3 linked regions of the Notamacropus eugenii genome follow. The protein of the gene in region 2 purifies or fractionates together with the protein of the main gene of each other region. This does not show direct contact. Links are inferred from orthologs where the notes say so. Each region holds a gene or a part of one and is shown on either strand. Other genes may lie near its edges.

Region 1 (7,515 bases), about 320 Mb from region 2:
ACCATGGTTGATAAATAGCTGGATTATTAAATAACTGTATGCATGATTAGGTTAATCCAACATAGCAAAGCAAATTAAAATATGGATTTCATGCAATTCCAATCAAAATACCATTCAGCTGCTTCATAGGATTGTGATTAAAATTTATCAGGAATGACACCACCAAGGAAAATTATAGGGGAAATAAAAGATCTCAAAAGTAGTGGTCAAATCAAAATTTTTTTAAACTATGAAAGTAGATCAATGGAACAAAATAGAGAATACAGAACCAAAGGAATGTTAACAGAAGTGTGCTTGCGGAATGACAGATTTAGAGCTGGAACGGCCCTCTGAGGTCATACTTGACCACTTCTGTCATTTCTGAAATGGGGAACTGAGCCACAGAGTGCATAACTAGAAAACATAATGGGACAGGACTTTTTTCCCCAATAAAAACTGACAGGCCAAAACAACAAGAGGATAAGAGCCACATCTCATACCGGGTTTTTTTTGGTCTGGTCCTATAATTTCATTGGGAAATTGTCTTCACTAATGCAGACTGGCAAGTCATCTACAATGTTGTAGTCTTAGAGGTTTGCTTGGGATACAGTGACCTGGCCAGGATCAGTATGTCAAAAACAAGATCTGATCTCAGGCCATCCTGACTTTGAAGCTAAGCCTCTGAACACCATCTCGTGATGCCTCTTATGACACACCACAGTAAATTCCAAAAGTACCAATAAATGAAATATTTTGAAAATCATTAGAATTTACAAGTCATTCCCCAATTGATAAATGGTCAAAGGATATGAACAGGCAATTTTCAGAGGAAGAAATTAAAGATATCTATAATCATATGAAAAAATGCTCTAAATCACTATTGATTAGAGAGATGCAAATCAAAACAACTCTGAGGTACCACATCACACCTATAAGATTGGCAAACATGACAGAACAAGAAAATGATAAATGCTGGAGAGGATGTGGGAGAGTTGGAACACTAATTCATTGTTGGTGGAGCTGCGAGCGCATCCAACCATTCTGGAGAGCAATTTGGAACTATGCCCAAAGGGCTACAAAAATGTGCATACCCTTTGACCCAGCAATATCGCTACTAGGACTATATCCCCAAGAGATCATAAAAATGGGAAAGGGTCCCACATGTACAAAAATATTTATAGCAGCACTCTATGTAGTTGCCAAAAACTGGAAGTCAAGGGGATGTCCATCAATTGGGGAATGGCTGAATAAATTATGGTATATGAATGTAATGGAGTACTATTGTGCCATAAGAAATGATGAACAAGAAGACTTCAGAGAGGCCTGGAAGGACTTATATGACCTGATGCTGAGTGAAAGGAGCAGAACCAGGAGAACTTTGTGCACAGCAACGACCACAGTGTGTGAGAGTTTTTTCTGGTAGACTTGGAATTTTGTAATAACGCAAAAACTTCTTATAAAAAAAAAAATCCCAAAGGTGGTTCTCAAGGCAAACTGCCTTCCACACTCAGAGAAAGAAATATGGAAGTCACTCACAAAATGTAGCAGATCATGTCTGTGTATGTGTATGTGTTTGTGTATCATGTTCTGATTTGTTATACGATTTCTTTCATTTATCTTAGTCTGACTACATAGCATGACTATAGTGAAAATATACTCAATAGGAAAGTATATGTAGAATCTATACAGAATTGTATGCAGTCGTGGGGAGGGAGGGGGGTAGTGGGGGGTAGGTGGGGGGGATAAAATCGCAATTGTATGGCAGTGATTGTTAAACATTAAAAAATAATTTAAAAAAAATCATTAGAATTGTAGGAAACAACAGGACATCATTGTGGACAAGGCAAAACATTCTTGGCCACTGCTGATTTCAGCTGGGTTTCCCCTCCACCTGGTGATTCAGGGAATTCCCTCGGACTCACCACTGTTTGCTCGTGCTGCTCAAACTTCAGACTAACGTTCTGGATCCAGAAGAAGCCGAAGGAGCCTATCTTGAGCTCGGCTTGGAGACTTCGATGACACCACTTGGTGGCCAATCGAATCAGAAGCCACCTGCCAAAAGATGCTGGTGAGCACTAGGTGTCTGTGGGACTCTGCAGACATGTGGGCTGGCAGAAGGATCTCATGAGTGTTCTGGTCTGTGGACTAGGCTTCCCCAAAGTTTCTATTTTCTCCTTCCCCTCCTGGTGGGTCCAGCCCAAAGAGCCATCCTGCTTCAGGCACTTGCTACGGGGGCAACTCTGGGAATGCCCCGGTGAAATGAGGGGGGACTCGATGATCCTGCTGTGCCACTGACTATCTGGGCAACCTCTCTGAGCCTCAGTTTCCTCGGCTGTGAAGTGACAGACTTCTGGCTCTGGAGCCCCAGCGCCTCAGGGGTCTGGCCTCCAGACCCAGGGTCTAGGTGAGGGGCCCCCATGCTCCCATCGCCCTGAGAAAACCAGTGGATTCAGGGCTCCCCAGATCTCCCCCCAGCCCTCCGAGGTGGACTGGGGAACTCCCCCCTGCTCCCGGCCCACCGTTAGAACTCAGGCTGCACGCGGAAAAAGGGACCACAGCCTCCCTGGAAGGGAGGACCCCGCCGCTCTGGGGCCACCCAAGGGCGGCCTGGGGGTGGTCGGGGCCAGGCAAGGGCGAGATGGACCAGGTACTCCCCCCAGAAAAGGGGCGAGAGGGAAGGCTGCGTGGGCTTGGGGGAGGGGAGGGCGAGCCCGGGAGGTGGGCAAGGGGCCCAGTGACCCCTGCAGTGCAGCAGAGGAAACTGAGGCGGAGGAGGAGGGCAGCACCCGGACGCGGCAGGCGGTGCCAAGGTCTGTAGGGGCGGGGGACTTGCCCAAGGTCACCCGGAACCCAGAGCACCAAACCAGGGGCTCCCCTCCCACAGCCCACGGGTCCTCCCCTTTCCCTGGAGCCCCTCCCCAGCCCGCGCGCCCCCGCCGCCCGGCCCCTCCTCCGCGCGCGCCCCCGCCGCCCGGCCCCTCCCTCCGCGCGCGCTCCCGCGGCCCCCTCGCCCCTCTCTCAGCCCCAGCGGCCCCTCACCGGCAGAAGAAGAGGGTGCAGAGCACAGCCACGAGCAAGGCCAGCAGCACGGCCAAGAGCAGAGACATAGCGGCCCCCGCGGCCCCGGCCCCGGCCCGGCCCCCGCGAGTTCCGTGCGGAGGCTCCGAGGGCCGACTAGCCGCCTGCGCGGGGGACGGCGCGAGGAGGAGACGCCGCGAGCTCCGCCCAGGCCCGGCCCGGCGCCTCCCAACCCTCCCCCCCGCGGCGCCCGCCGCGAACGAGCGAAAGCGCGAGGGAGGCGGAAGGGGGCGGAGCCAGAACGCGCTCCTCTCCCTTGCCCCGCCCGCCCCCTCAGCCTCGGCTTCCCTGCTCGAGGCTCCGAGGCCAGAGCCAAGAGGAGACACGTCCCTCCTTCTAGCCCCGCCCCCTAACCAGAGTTCCGGCCCCGCCTCTTTCCCCGCCAGCCCCCGGCCGGCAGGTTCTGCCGGACCTCCGCTCGGGCCTGCACGGCTCGCTAGCCCTCCGCCGGCCCCGAGGGCGAGTCCCAAAAAGCGGCCTTAGAGGTGGGCTCCAGCCCCTCGCTTTGGCCGGCTAGGGGAGGGGGAAGCACCCCGAGGTCAAAGGGGTGGCGATGCCCTGCGCTAGCCCGGCCGTGGGCCAAGCCCCTGGGTGCCCTGGCCCCCCCCCTGCAGGATGGCGGCCTTGGCATTCCTGCCTCGTCCGGCGGCCGTGGGGGACGGGAGCCTCCCGGCTCTCCCGGTCCCAAGTTCTAGGGCGAGCTCACGTTACTCAGCGGGGAGCCGGGCGTCTCGGGGCCCCCTGGGGGTCCTGGCGTAACGTTTGAGGGGCTGGGGCCACCCTTGGCCCTGCGCTAGGAGGGCAGCGGAAGGGTCCGAACCGACCCAGGATCTTCTGCCTCCTGCTCCGGTTTCTGCCTCTGGGTACAAGTTGGATTGTACCATCCTAGTCTCCTCATCTTTTTTCTCCATCCGAGGAAAAAGAAATGAGACAACATATATAAGCTGGACAGCCCAACTGGCATCTTCCGGATAGAAAAAACGAAACCACCAAAAAAACCCCACAAGGCATTTTATGTGACCCTTTATAAGGTTAGCGTCGTCACCACAGTGGGGGGAGGTGCTGTTGTCACCGCCATTTTGCCTAGGAAGAAACTGAAACGAAGCTTAAATGACTTGCCCAGGGTCACTTTGGATCTGAAGCTGCATTTGCACCCAGGTGTCTGTGTCTTCTAGTCTAGCACTCTATCCACTGGGCCACCTAGTTACCTAGGAGTGTTTGTAGCACGCTGGATGGATCTGTTCATCAGCTATGAAGAACCTAGTTACCTAGGAGTGTTTGTAGCACGCTGGATGGATCTGTTCATCAGCTATGAAGAACCTAGTTACCTAGGAGTGTTTGTAGCACGCTGGATGGATCTGTTCATCAGCTATGAAGAACCTAGTAACCTAGGAGTGTTTGTAGCACGCTGGATGGATCTGTTCATCAGCTATGAAGAACCTAGTAACCTAGGAGTGTTTGTAGCACGCTGGATGGATCTGTTCATCAGCTATGAAGAACCTAGTTACCTAGGAGTGTTTGTAGCACGCTGGATGGATCTGTTCATCAGCTATGAAGAACCTAGTTACCTAGGAGTGTTTGTAGCATGCTGGATGGATCTGTTCATCAGTCATGGAGAACCTACTTGCTTAGGAATGTTTGTAGCATGCTGGATGGATCTGTTCATCAGCTATGAAGAACCTAGTTACCTAGGAGTGTTTGTAGCACGCTGGATGGATCTGTTCATCAGCTATGAAGAACCTAGTTACCTAGGAGTGTTTGTAGCACGCTGGATGGATCTGTTCATCAGCTATGAAGAACCTAGTTACCTAGGAGTGTTTGTAGCACGCTGGATGGATCTGTTCATCAGCTATGAAGAACCTAGTAACCTAGGAGTGTTTGTAGCACGCTGGATGGATCTGTTCATCAGCTATGAAGAACCTAGTTACCTAGGAGTGTTTGTAGCACGCTGGATGGATCTGTTCATCAGCTATGAAGAACCTAGTTACCTAGGAGTGTTTGTAGCATGCTGGATGGATCTGTTCATCAGTCATGGAGAACCTACTTGCCTAGGAATGTTTGTAGTATGCTGGATGGATCTGTTCATCAGCTATGAAGAACCTAGTTACCTAGGAGTGTTTGTAGCATGCTGGATGGATCTGTTCATCAGTCGTGGAGAACCTACTTGCCTAGGAATGTTTGTAGCTTGCTGGATGGATCTGTTAATCAGCTGTGGAGAATTTGGACATAAAGGATGAGAAAGCCTGGAGGGGGTTGTGGTCTTCACTTTGAAAGAGAAACACCGATGAAGCTTTGAGTCATTCAAAGTATCAAAATAGAGATAGCAAACTCTGCATTTAATTCATTTACTCTGGGGAGTATCTTATTCTGGCCAGCTGTTGTTGATGGAACTAAGTGAATTCTTCAAATTCTGTTCACTCACAAGATGTTAAGCATCCTTGTGCACAGCATGGCATTACATAGTGTGGAGGGTACGAAGTAGGGGCTCTGGTTCATGCCCTTCAGGAATCACTGAGAAATCATAATAGACATAGATGAAATAAGCCGAGTTTAATTCCTGGGTAAATATATTCAAGTGCCTGACTGCAGCGAGTACCAAGAGCTCAAAGAGGAGCATGATGGGGACACTGTTTTGTGGGCTAGCCTCTTTTCTATAAATATCCACTGTCTTATCCAAAAGCATTTCCCTCTGATAGTTTCCCCTGATAGTACATTCTCCTGTTCTATTATCAGCCCTCTAACAAGTTTTGTGTCCAGTTACTGATTCCTGGTAAAACAGGCAGAGGCAGCTCAGCTGTCCCTCTGATCCCTCCCCACTTTTCTGGCACTTTGCCTCCTCACTTGCAATCTATTCTTCCTCCCCCTTCCTCTTCTAGCCAGCTGGTCACTTGTTTAGTTAGCTCTGCCTTTGCTTTTCCAGTCCACTCTTGCTTCCTTTTCTCCAATCATTCCTTTGGTTGCTGTCTCTTCTCTATAATATCCTGTTACATTTGACCCTTCTCTCTCAAGACTTTTCTTCCCAGAAGATCTGGACAGTTAAACTGGAGAAATGGGAAGATTTTCTGTAAATCAGAACTTCTAAAGTTGTTCTAGTGAAGTTCTCACTATGATATCTTACTGGATTGTGTCACTGGGAAAGGGACCAAATCTTAACATCTCAGACGGGGAGATCGGGCACAGAGTTCACATTCTCCAAGTAAAATGGAAAGGCTGCAAAATGAGTGAGTGGAAAAAAGCCATCCTAAAATAAAGTGTCTAACTGTATCCCTTGGAATCCCAACAGATGGCAGCCACCTCCCTTCCACCCCCATCACACTTCTGGAATGCAGTGGAATGAAGAAGTCCAACATCCCAGAAGCCACTTGCTTTGGGATTATGAGGGAGGCTGAAGACAAGAAATGACTATTTGTTCCCAAACCGAAGTCATATGATCACCTTCAAATACTTGGCATTTGCCCAGTTTGGTCAGGGAAGTAGATAAACGTATGACTACTGAACTTATCAACAATTGTGGGTCCAGGCTGCAGCAATTCACTAACTATTGAAATTATTATTAAATAACTAATTATTAGTATTGGGAAGGGCCAGGATTTTTTCCCTTCCTCATTTGGAGGGTAGGTCAAAACGTAGTTCTCTGAAGGGCAGTTAGATGAAATCTTGGAATTGTTGCCCCACCCACCTAGAGACCCTTAAGAAGAATTTAGTCTTAAGGTGAATTTGGGCCAGTGGTGTTCTACTTAGGCTTGGGTGGGGGGTAGATCCTTTGTCTAGATTGCCTGAGGCTGGGAGTGGTCTGGGAGCAAGAGTGAGCAGAGTCATGTCCCCCAGCTCCTCCTTAGGATGAATTCACCTCTCACTATAGTATTCATTCTTCTCATTAATTGTTAATCAATTCCAGTTGATTGACACCCTCAGGGAACACCAACTCTTGCAAGGACATATTGAGTGGGTTCCATGAGGGGTCTTTGGCATTCTATAGTACCACTGATCTCTTTTATTAATTATCCACGAGCAATGATTAATTACCCAGAAACTAGGTCTCAATTTTTTATACAAAACACCATTAAGGCAAACCAATTGGAGGTTATCATCCATAAGGATTTGGACTTCTAGCCAATGGGCATGAGTTTGAAGTTAAGGAAAAAGAAGACCTTACAAGGTCAATAGCTGAGAATCCCTAGTAATTTCAAAAGCCTTACAGCAGTAAACAACCCTATCTGAAGTGTGACTCCTAATTAAACGACCACTTAAAGACTGAGAATCAAATTTTTATTTCTCCTGAGAAAAAGCATATATTGGAGACTGAAATCCATAATAACGGATTATTATGACAAAGCATCCAAATGAGGGGAATCTCCCATCTCTGAGAGATGTTTCTTTTATTATTTCTTCCACTTTTATTTGTTCTAAATGGATGAAAAGATCAGTCCCACCACTGGCAATAACTCCCATATTTAG
Region 2 (7,133 bases):
TTCTTTCTCAGCCTCCCTTTCTATCCTATCCCTGTTATCTTATCTTCTCTCCCCACCCTCCTACTCCCCTTCCCACCCACCCCTTTCTACTGCCCTTTCTACCCCCTCAATCCAATCCACACACCCTTCCCAAAGTCCCTCCCCCACCTGGTCTCCTGGTTTTCAAAAGTTACCATTATTCTTAAAACTGTCTTCATTACTAAGGTGGTTTGAAAGACTGGGACTGAGTTGTGTAGGATGGGGTGATTCATACCTCCTTCTTGTCTTTCGATTTATCAATCTCTTTCTTAAGTAGTTCGACTTTCTGGAAGGACTCTCGGCTGTTAGTGCTGTAGACTAGGACATAGCCATCTGTACAGGAGAAACAGTGCTTGGGAAGTTCTGCCCCATCTCGAAGGCCACGGGTGTCATAGAATCTCACCTGCTCCCGCACACCTCGGTCAGTCTCGATTGAACCCACATAGATGTCTTCCTGGGTTTCAATCATCTCAGAACCTGGAATGGGATGAGTTTATTTGTTTTTTTGGACAGGAGTGAGTAAAACTGGGTATTTCCTGAGAGCCCAACTAGGGCTTTCTTCAAGCTGGGGGTAACTTAGGTGTGAGAAAAGGTGAAAAAATAAGGATTAGGGGAGCTACTGAAGACTATAAGGTAAGGATGAGGGGATCATTAAAAATCATTTTAGTATACTCTGATATTAAATTAGTGATAGGGACTGGGCCTGTGACTTCATTGGAATAGGGAACTCTCAGGTGAGGAAACTCCCTCTACCAATTTCAGTCTGATGTAACTTCTCTGCAACTGTTAGAAAAGTTGTTCAGAGCACTAAAAGATTAAATAAGTTACCCAAGGTCCCACTCCATGTCAGAGGTAAGACTAAACCTAGCGTTTCCCGGTTCTGAGGTCAGCCCTCATGTCAATTCTGACATGCCATAATGCCTCCTGACACATAATTAGCAATGTGCAAATACCCTGCTTTTCTTTCTACTCCATTTTCAAACCCTGGGCTTTCTTCCTTTGACTCCATTGCAAGGGCTGATTCCATATATGATGTTGTCTTGTATATGTGCTTCTACATCCATAGAACTGGTCCTTGGGCTGTGCTTGTGCGTGGACTATAGATCTAACGCCCCCTTCCCTCCTCCATTGTTCTCCCCCTTTCACACCCTTTCCCAAAATCCCAGCACTTACCCACTACATGGTTACCATACAACAGCTGTTCTAGGATGGAGGTCTTCCCCACCGAAGCCTGGCCACACACAACCACTTTGCAGCTCTTCCCCATGGATAGACCTCCACTTTGGGGAGGAGACAGGCTACACTGAGATGGAGAACAGGGGAGAGGAGGAGACACAACAGGGGAGGGACGATCAAAAGGGGATGCCTTGAGAACCCAAGTTCTGAATTTGACACATAATCCCTGGGGATTAGGACTCTTCACAACATTAGGATGATGGGTTTGTAGGTGGGAAGGAATTGAGAGATGAGGTGTACTGTGACCTTCAGGGATAGGTCCCTCTCTCTGGGTATTAGGATATAGAAGGGACCATCTGCTAAGGCCACAATATCTATAGATCTCAGCCTTCATCTTCCTTTCAATGTAAAAGAAAAAATGATCCCAAAGTCAATTGTCTGGCTAGGCTGGACTGATTGAGGACTTGGCAGACATTAGGGTTAAGCCCAAGAAAGGAATGCTTTCTATGAGAACCACTCCATCTTGCTCCCTAGAGCCTGCCAGACCAGCAATGTAGAGCAATGGCACGGAGAGAAGCTAGTCAAGATTAAAGAAGCCAAAGCTGAAAGGATTGGAGGGGGCTTTCAGTGTGTGTTGGCAGATTGCAGGGGCTGCTGAGATATGCCATGAAAGGTTAAACTCAGAGATACCTCCAAGGAGAGGCTCTCAGACACAGTAAGGGGTCCATGGACACAAAGAGAAAGACCAGAGACAGGCTCCTAGACAAAGAAGAGTCCCATGGAGGCAGTTTCTAAGGTACGTCCCATATGTAAATCTATGATCCCGTAGTGGAACCAGAGAGACCCCCAAAGAGAAAAATCTAGGTAAAGAGATTAAAGGGGAAGAAAACTCCAGGGCCCTTAGGTGACAGAATCATGAGTTTATTTAAGAAGTGTCTCATTGGAGCTGAGCAGCAGGCCATGGTCAAGGTCCAGAAGAGAAATCCAAATGATCAAGAAGACCCTATGTCCTGTTCTTTGACTCCCATTACCACTCTGCCAGGAGAGAGCAGTAGCTGCTCTCTGAGCCCCATTTGTCCCTGTGGTCTATGGTCCTGGGATGCTGCACCCACCCCTCCACCCAGGATGCCCAGGGCACCCTGGAGCAAGCTAAGAACAGAGGCTACCTACCTATTGGGGGTCTCTCCTAGGGTAAATGTCCCTAAGTACAGCAGCAGCTGATGCCGACAGAGGCAACTTCCCACTTCCTTCCTTGACCTCCCAGTCATCCCCACCCTCCTACATCCGGTGAACCCGCAAGAGAAGCCCAGGCAAGCAAAAGGATGGCGAAGAAGCAACACAGCTCCCTCTAGAGCCATGGCGCCAGGAATGAGGTGGAAGTCATCTGGACCAAGCTGTGATTGAGGGGATCAAAGATCTTTTCCCTCTAGAGAACTGATGCTGAGGGTTTTTTTCCCTAAAAGGGAAGGGAGAGGATGGTCAACAAATTTCCGAGGCTCTTAACACCAAAAGGACAAGAGTGAGAGTCTGGGACCAGTCTGGAGGCCCTGGCAATCTCAAGGTCAAGGATATGGGGTAGAGGATGTACTAATCTCTCATTCCCCTTAATTTGTTTGCAGAACTGTACAAGTTGATTAGGATTCACTCATCCATTCAACCAAGCATTTATTAAATACCTCTCATTAGCTACCTACTATTGAATACCCCCAGAAGGAATTGTAGATGGAAAAAAAAATAGAAATCGTCACTGCCCTGGAGAAGTATATAGTATATTGAGGAGTGGAGAGAAGTATGTACACAGTCTATACAAAGTAATTTCTGTGTGGAGAGTACTAGTTAGTAACTGGAGGGGTGTGGGGAATTAGAGTAGGCTTCCTCTAGGAGTTGACACCTGAGTTGAAACTTAAATCAGGAATTCTATGAGGATCCTAGATTTTAGAGCTGGAAGGACACTGGGTGGAGAGAGCACCTACTCCAACTCCATCTTTCTGCCAAATGAGACATAAAGGTCACACAAGGGATTTAGTGGCAAAACTAGTTCTCAACCCTGAGCCTTTCCAAAGCTCTTTCCTCCACATAATGTGGTTCATTTCATTGAATGCTGAACTCGCTGAATTCATTCAGCTGGATGCGGGCCAACCAACCCCCCAATGAAGTCAACTAGCATCTATAAAGGGCCTAGATGCACCAGGCTAAGCGCTGGGGCCCTGCTCCCGGGGGCTCCCAGTCAGTCCGTGCATCCCCGTCCTCAAGTGCGTCATACAGTTTGGGGGCGCCATCAGTCGCGCTTCAAACCAGGTGGATTTACAGGCGTTTCTGTTACTTTAAATCTTGACCCCATGGATGACTGCCCACTGTGGGGTGGTGCACGCTGGGTGGGGACAGCCGTTGGGATGGGGCAGGGGCGTGGGGGTCCCCCATAAAGCACGGGTGGCACCCCCGGGCGGCCCACATGAAAGGCTGCCCATAAAACAGGTCGGAGCGTCGTGAGGGGGAGGCCCCCGCCGCGCCCGGGGATCCCGGGCGGGGATGAAAGGAGCGGGCCGCGTTCCCCCCGCTTGGCTGGGCAGGGCCCCGGAGGCCAGCCCCCCAGCTGGCCGGCCTCCCGGAGCCCCTCCAGTCGCCTGGTCTCTCGCGCCCAGCCCAGGGAGCAGAACGCCAGGGCGTTGCCATGGCGACAGGGCCCTCGGAACCCTGAGGCCGAGCGCGCGGCCGCGCCCGCGACAAGCACGGATCCCCGCTCGGCGCCCCGCACGCTCGTCCAAGCTGGCTCCCCCGATGAGCCGGGGCCGCCTGTGGGCCCGCACTGCGGCCCCAGCGCCCCGACGCGGCCCGGCCCCGCTCTGGCAGCCCGCGCGCCCTCCCGCCGGCCGGCGAGCCCGAGAGAGCCTCTCTGGGCGCGCCCAGGCCGCCGCGGCGCCGCCGCTCGTTGCTCCTGCGCCCGGAAGTGCTCCTTACCGCCCGCCCCCCACCCGGCTCCCCAGCCCTGGCGGTAAGATGGCGGCGGCCGCGGAGTGCGATGTGGTAATGGCGGCGGCGGCCGAACCCGAGCCCGAGCTGCCCGACGACGAGGAAGCCCGGAGGTAACGAGGGCGCCGGCGGGCCCCGGGGAGGGGGCGGGAGCGGGCCCCGGCTCCTGGGGTGGGGAGGCCGCCACCCCCACCCCTCCCAGCCCGACTGGGCCCTGTCCTCGCGCGGCTGGGGAGGGGGGAGCGGGAGTCATGATCCGGGCTGCCGTGACCCCCCCCCCCCCGCGGCTCCCCGAGGTGTTGGGAAGGGGGGGGGAGCCCTAACCCAGAGCCTCCGGACGCCCGCAGCCACAGCCGGGCCCCGCAGCTTTTGCTGTGTGACCTTGGGCGAGCCCCTTGGCCTCTCTGGGTCTCGACGTCCAGCTCTTCATAGGGGGTTGGGGGGGGTTCGGGGTGGAGGCCCCCTCCCCGCACGCTGCTCCTCCCCCTTTCCTCAGCCCCGCCGGGTGCCCGCCCCTCCACCGGCGAGGTGATCCCGCGCTGCCCATTCATGCCCCGGCCCCCTGCCTTGCTCCGTGGTGTTACGTTCTGGACGGATCGGGCGGGGGGCACCGATCCCTTCTGCCCGCCCTTCCACCAGTGTCCTGGGGCTCAGGCAGCGGCAGGGGCCCGAGAGGACCAGCCCCGGCCTCCGCCGCCCCCCGGGAGGTCTTTCTGGGAAGGCCCGGATCCCTGCTACGTTGTTGAGGGCTGTTATTTGAACTGCCTTCCCCCTGCTGTGACTCTCAGTCAGAGCCCCGTTTGGGATGCTTCTAGGCTGTGGGCTGGACTCCGGTGCCCCTGCCTGTGACCCAGGCCCTGGCCGTAAGCGTACCTTCAGTGGGGTCAGTTTAATATTTAGCCCTTCTTAAATTTTCACTCGGATCAAAGGATGGCCAAAGTTCACACCCTGAGATTTCGATGTGATGGCAGACACCGAAGCACCTGCGAGCAGTTTAACTCTACTCAGGGCCCAGGTACCATAGTGGGAAAGGACCCCCCAAGGCTGGCCTCAGTCCTGTCCTCTAGTCAGCTGAGAAGTTAGAATAAACGTGATCCATTCTTCTAAGGAATTGCAAAGTGGGAAGCAGTAGTCCATAGGCCTTCCTCCTAACTGTACACCGACCCAGCCCTCCATGATTAACTAAGTTTAACCAGGTCAGAATGGAAGTTTGGAGATTCAGTGCTGAAAATGAGATGGGGCTGAAGAGTTCAGCATCCTAGGAGGTTGTCTTCCTATTTATACAAGTTTCACCCTCTCTCCTCCCAGTCACCTGTATCTCCCTCTCATCCATATTGGAGAACAGGAACTGGGGACATTCCCTAGAAATCTCCTTTTGCATGCTGACGTAGCCACTTTCCTGACTGGTCGGGGTCAGTTCACTTGGGAACAAAGTGGGAAACATCCCTTGGGCTGATTTTGTGAGGCTGTGTTTGTGTATATGGATGTGCTGGGTATGTCCACTGGGGCCAGGCACTCCTTTGGCTCAAGGAAAAGGTTATCTTTTCATCATTGCCACCTGTCTTTGCTGCTGAGCTAGCACTGTCCCAGCAGGGGGCAAAGTAAGGGTTTTCTAGAATTCTCTGGTGTCTAGGCATCAATAGTTGTCATGTTTAAAATGGGCATTAGGTTTCATTTTCTTAACCAGGTCTCCAAGGGAAAATGAAACTACTTATTTTGTGCTCTGTCCTTCTGGCAGTGTTCTTTTTTTCCTGAAGAAGCGGAAATGAAAGCTATTTTAGTCCGAAAGGCTAATATCTGCTATAGAATAGACTGAGATTCTACGCAGAGATTCTTGGTTCCTCTTGCCTCTAGAAGAGCTTCATCGTATTAGGAATCAAGGAGCTGATAACGTAGCTTAAAATTCTAGTGGTTCACGTTCTCAGGTTCACATTTTCCTATAGAATACAAGCATTATCTTCGTGACTGCTTGAGTGGGCTACCCATGTTGACATCCCGCCTACCCTGAGGGCTCTGTGGTAAAGCAGCATAGCTGTTGTTTGATGCCTCTAGGGATGTACAGCAGATTGGCTTCTATAGGAGGTATTATAAGGGTAAGTCTGGGCTTTGAGTTGTTCCTTCTCTTCCTTATTAAAGAATAGATTCTTGTTTACACACATCTGAAAGTCAGTGGTCATTTAAACAGCTTCCTTCACCTACAGGGCCTCTAGAGTCCCTTCTGGTTCCAAATCTGTGAACCTGAGCAGGGAGAAATGAGGAGAGTTATGTCCTTAAGAATCACTGTACCTGGATTTGTTTCACCAAGCCAGTCATCATACTAGTGACTTCATCTTACTGAGAGCAAATAAATTATTTAACTGCCTCAAAAAGCGATCATGAAAGACTTTCAGTTGCTCCATAGCAATGTCGAACAGGAACAGTCTATAATATTTGTGTGTGTATACACATACATGTATATGTATATATACAGACGTTTTGATATTATGTGTGTGTATGTATACACTCATACCTATGTAACAATATAATGCTCCTGTTCAATTTATTGCTGAATGGAAACTGAAAGTTTTTCATGCCTGCTTCAGATAGTATGTTGTATAACACACACACACACACACACACACACACACACACAGAATTTATATTTATAAAGAGTATTCAGACTCCACTTCTGTTTGTCTGTGTAGTGAGACTGGAACTAAAGATAAATGAATAAAAGCTCACGGGAACATCAGTGAGGTTTGTGGGAGGGATAGACCCCTAGGAGTCCTGAACCCTGAATAGCAACAAATTATTTGAACTTACTTACTTTAAAGTTCCGGAATTGCTGAAAATGATTACATTAAAAAAAATAGACCACACACTCAAGACCTTCCCCTTCTCCTTCTCTACATCACCTCATAGACCCATACATAGGATAAAGCAAATAATTTTTGATGAATGTTGGGCCAGTTGACTGGCAGTTGCTCAGG
Region 3 (7,689 bases), on a different chromosome or scaffold from region 2:
TATAGTACTTAATTTGAGTTTTAGGTGTCAGCAGGAGGTACAGGGAAAGATGTCTAACAGGCACTTGGAGAAATAAGATTGGATCTCAGATGAGAGATTAGGACTATTTATATAAATGTTGAAATATTTTGACCAGCAACCCTAAGGTCCCTTCCTAGTTTGATTTTTTTTCTTTTTTTTTTTATCAGAGGGACCATCCCTTGATTCACTTCTTAAAGAGGCCTATTCATTATAATGGGCATTACATCACTCAAAGCAAGAACTTGAAAAGACTTTAGCTTAAAAGGGCCAAGGTCTCCCACTGCATCCTGGGCTATCTCCAGTCCTGATCTATATCTGGTCACTGGACCCAGATGGCTCTGGAGGAGAAAGTGAGGCTGGTGACTTTGCACAGCCCTCCCTCACTTGAATCAAAGTCAATTGCAAGTCATGTCATCATCTCCCTGATGTCATGGTTCTCTTTGAGGATGAAGGACAAACCACAACACGAAATAATGATTTTTTCAAAGCTTTCAAATATGTTATTTTATTTGATTATGCATCAAACATAGTCAATAAGTTTGGCAAGTATTATCTCCATTTTACAAATGAGGAAACCAAGGGATTAAATTACTTATCCAGTGTTATGTCTCTCAAGAGAAGCAGAGCCAGGATTAGAGAGCTCAATTGTCTTGACACAGATGTCATAATTTTGTTACCTGTGCCCCAGAACAGAAGCTCTGTGTTTACATGGACTAGCTTCAATATTAGGAGCTTCTCTTACTAAATATTACTCCTTTTGGCTCCTGCTTAAAATCTTTAAACTTAAGGATTTCCCTTGGGATTTGGATCATGTCTAGAATTCTCCCCACCAAAAATAAAAGGGGAAAGACCTATATAGCTCCCTTGAAAGCACTCAGGCTAACAAAACTTGGCATATAAAACAGACTTTATTTAACCCTACAGAAATTGCAGAGGACTTGTACACCAGGTCATCTACAGTCAAGACCATCATCCTTCCCTCTCCAAGATGTTTTCCCTCTCTCAGGGATCTATATATTCCTCCAAATTTATAGTACCAGCTTGGGGCAGCTAAGGTGGTGCAGTGGATAGAGCACCAGTGCAGGAGTCAGGAGGACATGAGTTCAAATCTCACCTCAGACACTTGACACTCACTAGCTGTGTGACCTTGGGCAAGTCACTTAACCCCAGTTGCCTCATCCTGGGTCATCTCCAGTCATCCTGATGAATATCTGGTCACTGGATTTAGATGGCTCTGGAGAAGAAGTGAGGCTGGTGACCTGTGCAGCCCTCCTTCACTCAAAACAAAGTCAAGTGCAAGTCATGTCATTATTTCTCTGATGGCATGGTCTTTTTCGGCAATGAAGGACACACACACACACACACACACACACACGCACACACAAATAACCACGTAGGGGTTGAGAACTTCCTCAAATGGTTAAAGTACTTAGTGTTGCTAGGGCACTAACCCCTTTACTCAAACCTGCACAGTCCACATAATTTATAGTATCAGTGAAGGGCAAAATTCATATCATGGACTTGTCCATTACCAAACCCTCTGTAATGGACCCAAAGTTGATCCAGGAACTCCACTGCTCCACCCTGCCAGGCTTTCTGGAGTTCTTCATTTGGTCCTGGAGGCCCTCTTCAGGCCACATCCTGAATGCTACAATGTTCCCTAGAGAACAAGTTTCCCTGACAAGGCTACATGGTTGCACCAACTTCACTCCAGGTAACTGGATGTTTATCCAACTAATTTTTCTCACCAATCCAACCTCTCTCCAGTTCTTCAGACTTCCCTTCAGAGGCCAGGTCCAAGGATTAGCCTAAATATATGAACTAGAAGTGAATCTTCCACAATATAGTTTAAAGGGGCAAGAACTAACCTTTTCAGAGTTCAGACCTCAATATGAGGGATTCTGAAAGTAGTGTGGTGGACAGAGTACTAGACCTGGAGTCAGAAAGGCCTGAGATACTTAGTATTTATGGCCAAGTCACTTAACCTCTAGTCTCCTCCTCTGTAAAATGAGGATTATCATAGCACCTACTTCAGAGACTTCTTTTTGAAGGTCAAATAAGATAATATCTGTAAAGTACTTTGGCAAGCCTTCAAGTGATTTATAAATGCCTACTGGTGTTACTGTTGTCCTCCTGAGGTACGCCTTTCCACTGAAAAGGGGTAAAAGCTTCTAAATCAGAGGTTGGAGAGATCTCAGGTTTTTATTCTTTACTTACTACTTTTATGAGCCTGAGCAAGTCATTCATCCTCTCTGGACCTCAGTTTTCTCATCTTTCAAATGAAGGCTGGACTAAATGAACTAAATAGCATAATCCTGATTCTTCAACAAATTCAGAAAAGCAATATGTGGAGCAAAGTGCACTAAAGATGGAATCAGGACCTGGGTTTGAGTCTGGTTCAGATGTTTCCCAGTTGGGTGAGAGGGGTCAAATTCTTTTTTCTCTATGAAGAGAAAAAGTCATTGCATAGAAATGGAACTGAGTACTGTGATGGAGATTGGGAGGATCAAGGGAATCAGCTCCAGGATGCTCTCCCTCAAATATTTGTTGAATCGGAATCCTATTGTATGTAGTCCTTCCAAGTCACCCATATTCTCACCCTTACAGTCATTCCCAGTTTGTTCCCCTCTTTCACCCTTCATATCCAGTCAGTTGCAGATATGAATTCCCACCTATAGATTCATCCAAGCTACAAGCTATCCACCCATTACCACATGCCTTACCTACTTCAATAGCCTCCCTAATTGCTCTCTCCCTGCCTTTCTCCTTTCTTTCTCCTTTCTGCAATTCTTCCTCCACACCATTGCCAAATTCTGTCCTAATGAACAGGTCTGACCATGTCTCTTACCTGCTTGAGATGTTTCATAAGTTCCTTATTGTCATAGGATAAAATGCAGACTCCTGTGGCCCTTCACAGGCTCCAGCTTACATTTCTAAACTGATTTCACCTCTTTCTCTCCCCCCACCCCCAATTCTAACCAGATTCAACTATTTGATGATGTTCTCTTAATAGACATGTCTACTTTCCTGCTTCTGCAACAAGCTGTCTCCCAGGCAAGAAATTCTGTCCCTTGTCCCTTCTACATTTAAAAATCTCAGACTTCCTTCAGTGCTCAGCCTTAGCGCCACTTCCTACCAAAAAAATAAAACTTTTTTAATGCCCCCACTTTATTGTTATTTTGTATATATTTTGCATTTACTTCTCTACCTTATTCTCTTCCCCTCCACTTCAATAGCATGGAAGCTCCTAGAGGGCAGAGACTGTTTGCTTTTTTGTCTATGCCTGGCACACAGTAAGCACTTAATAAGTAAACAAGCATTTATTAAATGCCTACTATGTGCCAGGCTGTGTTAAGCCCTGATGATACAAAAACAGCCCTCCTTCTCAAGGAGAGACAACATGCCAACAACGATATACAAAAAGCTATAATACAAGATAAATTGTAGGTAACAAATAGAGGGGAATGTACTAGTTTTAAGGGGGATTGGGAAGGGCTTCCTGTAGAAGATGGGATTTTAATTGGAACTTGAAAGAAGCCAGAAAAGGTGAAGAGAAGAGAGTATTCTAGGCCTGGGGGACAGCCAGAGAAAATGTTCTGAGCTGAGAGATGGAGTGTCTTGTTTGTGGATCAAAGAGAGTATATGGTTAGTGGTTCAGGACACAAAGTGTTAAAAAAAAAAACATGGAAAGGTGAGGAAGGGAGTTAGATTCTGAAGAACTTTAAACGCCAGAGGATTTTCTATTTGATACTGAAAGTGACAGGGAACGACAGGGTGTGTGACATAGTCAGATCTGAGCTTTAGGAAGGTCGCTTTTGCAGTTGAATTGAGTGAAGATGATATTGGAGTGGAGAGAGACTTGAGGCAGACCCACCAGTCCGGGTGATGGGCTTGCACCAAGGTGGTGGCAGTGTCAGAGGAGAAAAACTGAATACTATTAGAAAAAGCTCCGAATTTGGAGTGGGAAAAGGCAGATTCTTCTTCCTTCTGCCACTTACTAGACACTTTTAAGACAGCAAACATTTATTAAAGGTTTTCTGTCTGTTAGGAGGAGACAAAAAATAAGCCCAGAATTAACGATCTTGCCTTCTCCAAGCCTCAGTTTCTTTTTCTATTCAAGGAGATCTGATCAGATCACCAGTCTCTTTCAGCTCTCTTAAAAGCCAGGATCTAGGACTGAAACCCAGACAAAGGGGCGGGACAGCCTGGCCGAGGGGCGGGGCTTGCTCTGATCCTCAGGTGTGGGCAGAGCACTGAGACTGAGTCTTCGACACCCTGGAAAAATAGAAATTCCAGGAGGGCGGGGCAGTGGGGGCGGGGCTGGTTGAACTAGGTGAGGGTCCCAGAAGGCCGCGGGAGAACTGACTCGCGCTCGGTGGGGGGCGGGGGCGTTGCAAAAGGGAGGAGCAAAGAAGGCGGAGGAGTGCGTCTCGAGCCCGCAACCGTTGACGATCCTACCCCGCCCCAGGGTCACGTGTTGCGATTCGGCCGCCCAGGATTGGGCAGTGCGGCGCGAGGGGCGGAGCGGAAGGTTCTGGAGAGGGCTGGCGGGCTCTGGAAGCTTCCGCCGGGCGGGTATATAGCGTCCGGGCCGGGGCGGCGGCGGAGCCGTAAGGACGGCGGCGGGAGGGTGGGGGTCATGGGTAAGGATTACTACCAGACGCTGGGCCTGGCCCGGGGCGCCTCGGACGAAGAGATCAAGCGAGCCTACCGCCGGCAAGCGCTGCGCTACCACCCGGACAAGAACAAGGAGCCGGGCGCCGAGGAGAAGTTCAAGGAGATCGCCGAGGCCTACGACGTGCTCAGCGACCCGCGCAAGAGGGACATCTTCGACCGCTACGGGGAGGAGGGTGAGTCAGGGGCCCGCGGAAGTGGGAGCAGGCTCATCCAGGAGAGGCCCGGGCGGCGCTGCAGGAGGCCGCCCCCGGAAAACCAGGAGCCGCCGGGCCCAGGGGACGGCGCTCGCGGCGAGGCCTGGCTCCTGCGAGCCTGCGCCGTCAGCCCGGAGCCTCCCTCCCGGGGGACGGGGAACCTCTGACGTTTGCTCGCCCCCTGCTCGCCTCCGGGGCCTGCTGTGGGTTTTGCAATGAGCAAGAGTTACTTTTTCCCTCCTCGTCCCCGGTGGGGCTGCTGGCCCCCCGACCCCCGTACCCATTGGCTACACTGCCCTGCATTCCGATTGGCAGCCTTTCGATGAGAGGTGGAGACCTGGCTGGCTCAGCAGCTGGCTGTCATGTCCGCAGAACCTTCTAGCATGTTTGTTAGTCATTCCCCGAGAGAAGTTAGACCAGAGGCAGGGAGATCTTAAGGTTTTACTGTGGGCCTTCCCCAGCCTGTGGGTGTGAGCAAAGCATCTACTAGTATGTTAGGCGGGGTCTACTTTTCCTCCCCACGCCTTAGCAAACTTGTTTGATGACTTCCCTTAGCTCCATTCCCCTGGAGGATATATTGGAAATGCACCTCCTTTGCTTTCACATGAGAATATTAATGATGGCTGAAGTCAACTCCTGAATCCAGTAGTTAACCTGGGGACATTTCCCTACCTTATTCCAGTAAGAAAAAGATGTAGATGTCTTGGATGTGAAACATATCACAATCAGGAATTGCAGAGCTGAGGCTCGGGCTAGTTGAAGAGTGCTTTGAAAAAGGGGGGATGGGGATTTTTTTCCAACTCTAGTAACATTGTTTTCCCAAGCATTTTATAGACCTTAAAAGCACAGGGGAAAGGTTTTAAAATACTTATGTGGTAGTCAAGGCTCAAAAGGCATCGGGATCAAATAGTAGCCATTCTTTAAAAGGGCTAACTATAAGCAACTGAAAATAGCATATTTTGCCATTTAGAAAGAAGGCTCATACAGAGCTCAACAGAAGTCTTAGTGAATACTTAAGCTAGTAGAGCTTAAAATTGCATTAAAACTTTTGGGATACCTTGTATATCTTGACCTCAAGGAGTAACCAGCTGAAATCTAGACAAGAATAGAAGTTAATAACACTCTGTTAAATTCTTCCTTATTTCTCAGGTTAGCACTAAAATACGGTCCAGCAATTTCCCTCACAGACTAGGCAGCCCAAGGCTAGGATGCAAAAATCTAGCATCTTCATCCTATTGATAGCTAACATACTGTCTGTCTTGAAATAAGATCATGTCTAAATAGGAAAAATAGGAGTATAGAAAGTGGGGCAAAAAAACAATGCTTTCTATTTGTCTAATGATGCCCAAGTTCTCTCTCCTTGACTGGGGAAGAAGAAGGAGTTCTAGAGCAAGAAGAGCTATTTTCTTTGGCCAACAATTTGAATTCTCGTTTTTCCTTTTTCAGGACTGAAGGGTGGTGGCCCTAGTAGTGGTAGCAGTGTTGGTCCTAACGGTGCTTCCTTCAGCTACACTTTCCATGGGGACCCTCATGCCATGTTTGCTGAGTTCTTTGGTGGCCGAAACCCTTTTGACACCTTTTTTGGTCAACGAAACGGGGAAGAAGGCATGGATGTTGATGACCCATTTTCTGGCTTCCCAATGGGCATGGGTGCCTTTACCAATATGAACTTTAACCGACCTCGTCCAGCCCAGGAACACAGCCGCCGAAAACAGGATCCCCCGGTTACCCACGATCTCCGGGTCTCACTTGAGGAGATCTATAGTGGTTGTACCAAAAAGATGAAGATCTCCCACAAGCGGCTTAACCCCGATGGGAAGAGCATCCGCAATGAGGACAAGATCCTGACCATTGAAGTGAAAAGAGGGTGGAAAGAGGGGACCAAGATTACCTTCCCAAAAGAGGGGGACCAAACCTCAACCAACATTCCAGCTGACATTGTCTTTGTTTTAAAGGACAAGCCACACAACATATTTAAGAGAGATGGGTCTGATGTGATTTACCCAGCAAGGATCACCCTCCGTGAGGTAAGGCAGGATCTTTATAGACATACAGCTGTGGTTTATAGTAACGGGATTCTGGACTTCAGTGACCTTAGAGAAAGAGACTTGTGGCTTGAAAGTAACCATCAGTAATGAAACCCAGGTCTTTTTATTCTAAGTTTAGTATACTGTCTGTATCTACTATGCTCCCTTGCTGGAGACATAAACATCTCTCAGCACAATCTAGAGAGGAATCACATGTTTTGATTGCCTGTATGTGGTTAGTCATGCAGATCTGTGCCACACTTTCTGGAAACAGTACAGGGGTTCATATAAGACAAGTTGAAGGGAAAGCTAGTCATCCTTACCCAGTCAAAATCTTTGTAAGCCCTAGAATCTGTCTTTAGAGAAGAATTCTCTCCCTCTTAGTTGTTCATCTATTTAATTATATGCCTTTGCTTTTAGGCCCTGTGTGGCTGTACAGTGAATGTCCCAACGCTGGATGGCAGGACCATACCGATAGTGTTCAAGGATGTCATCAGGCCCGGAATGAGGCGAAAGGTGCCTGGAGAAGGCCTTCCCCTCCCCAAAACACCAGAGAAACGTGGGGACCTCATTATTGAGTTTGAAGTGAATTTTCCTGACAGAATTCCCCAGTCTTCAAGAACCGTCCTGGAGCAGATCCTGCCTATATAGCAATCTCTGCTCCCCAAGGACTGAACCAAGGACATTTCCAAAGCTCAAGGTTTTCTGGACCATCTCCAACAGTTGTGGGCCCCCAGGGTGGGAGGGACCACAGAGGGTTTTCATATGCT

The links. Proteins that work in one complex are often made in the same cells at the same time.
Region 1: the proteins of DNAJC7 (region 2) and BLTP2 purify together in Homo sapiens (co-immunoprecipitation; 3 studies listed by BioGRID and IntAct, counting the BioPlex papers as one, with this or other methods). This does not show direct contact. The link is inferred for Notamacropus eugenii from reciprocal best matches to the Homo sapiens genes DNAJC7 and BLTP2.
Region 3: the proteins of DNAJC7 (region 2) and DNAJB1 purify together in Homo sapiens (affinity purification with mass spectrometry; 3 studies listed by BioGRID and IntAct, with this or other methods). This does not show direct contact. The link is inferred for Notamacropus eugenii from reciprocal best matches to the Homo sapiens genes DNAJC7 and DNAJB1.

What each region holds. Positions count from the first base shown.
Region 1 is NC_092873.1:36,056,363-36,063,877, forward strand, and holds the start of BLTP2 (bridge-like lipid transfer protein family member 2), read right to left. Parts: upstream 3,188-7,515; 5' UTR 3,087-3,187; coding exon 3,019-3,086; intron 2,032-3,018; coding exon 1,902-2,031; intron 1-1,901. UniProt on the Homo sapiens protein: Tube-forming lipid transport protein which binds to phosphatidylinositols and affects phosphatidylinositol-4,5-bisphosphate (PtdIns-4,5-P2) distribution.
Region 2 is NC_092873.1:358,507,551-358,514,683, reverse strand, and holds the start of DNAJC7 (dnaJ homolog subfamily C member 7), read left to right. Parts: upstream 1-4,098; 5' UTR 4,099-4,191; coding exon 4,192-4,277; intron 4,278-7,133. Other genes in the region: NKIRAS2 (NF-kappa-B inhibitor-interacting Ras-like protein 2), read right to left, coding at 254-495, 1,192-1,285. UniProt on the Homo sapiens protein: Acts as a co-chaperone regulating the molecular chaperones HSP70 and HSP90 in folding of steroid receptors, such as the glucocorticoid receptor and the progesterone receptor.
Region 3 is NC_092875.1:76,444,256-76,451,944, forward strand, and holds the start of DNAJB1 (dnaJ homolog subfamily B member 1), read left to right. Parts: upstream 1-4,502; 5' UTR 4,503-4,660; coding exon 4,661-4,871; intron 4,872-6,338; coding exon 6,339-6,919; intron 6,920-7,339; coding exon 7,340-7,570; 3' UTR 7,571-7,689. UniProt on the Homo sapiens protein: Interacts with HSP70 and can stimulate its ATPase activity. Stimulates the association between HSC70 and HIP. Negatively regulates heat shock-induced HSF1 transcriptional activity during the attenuation and recovery phase period of the heat shock response.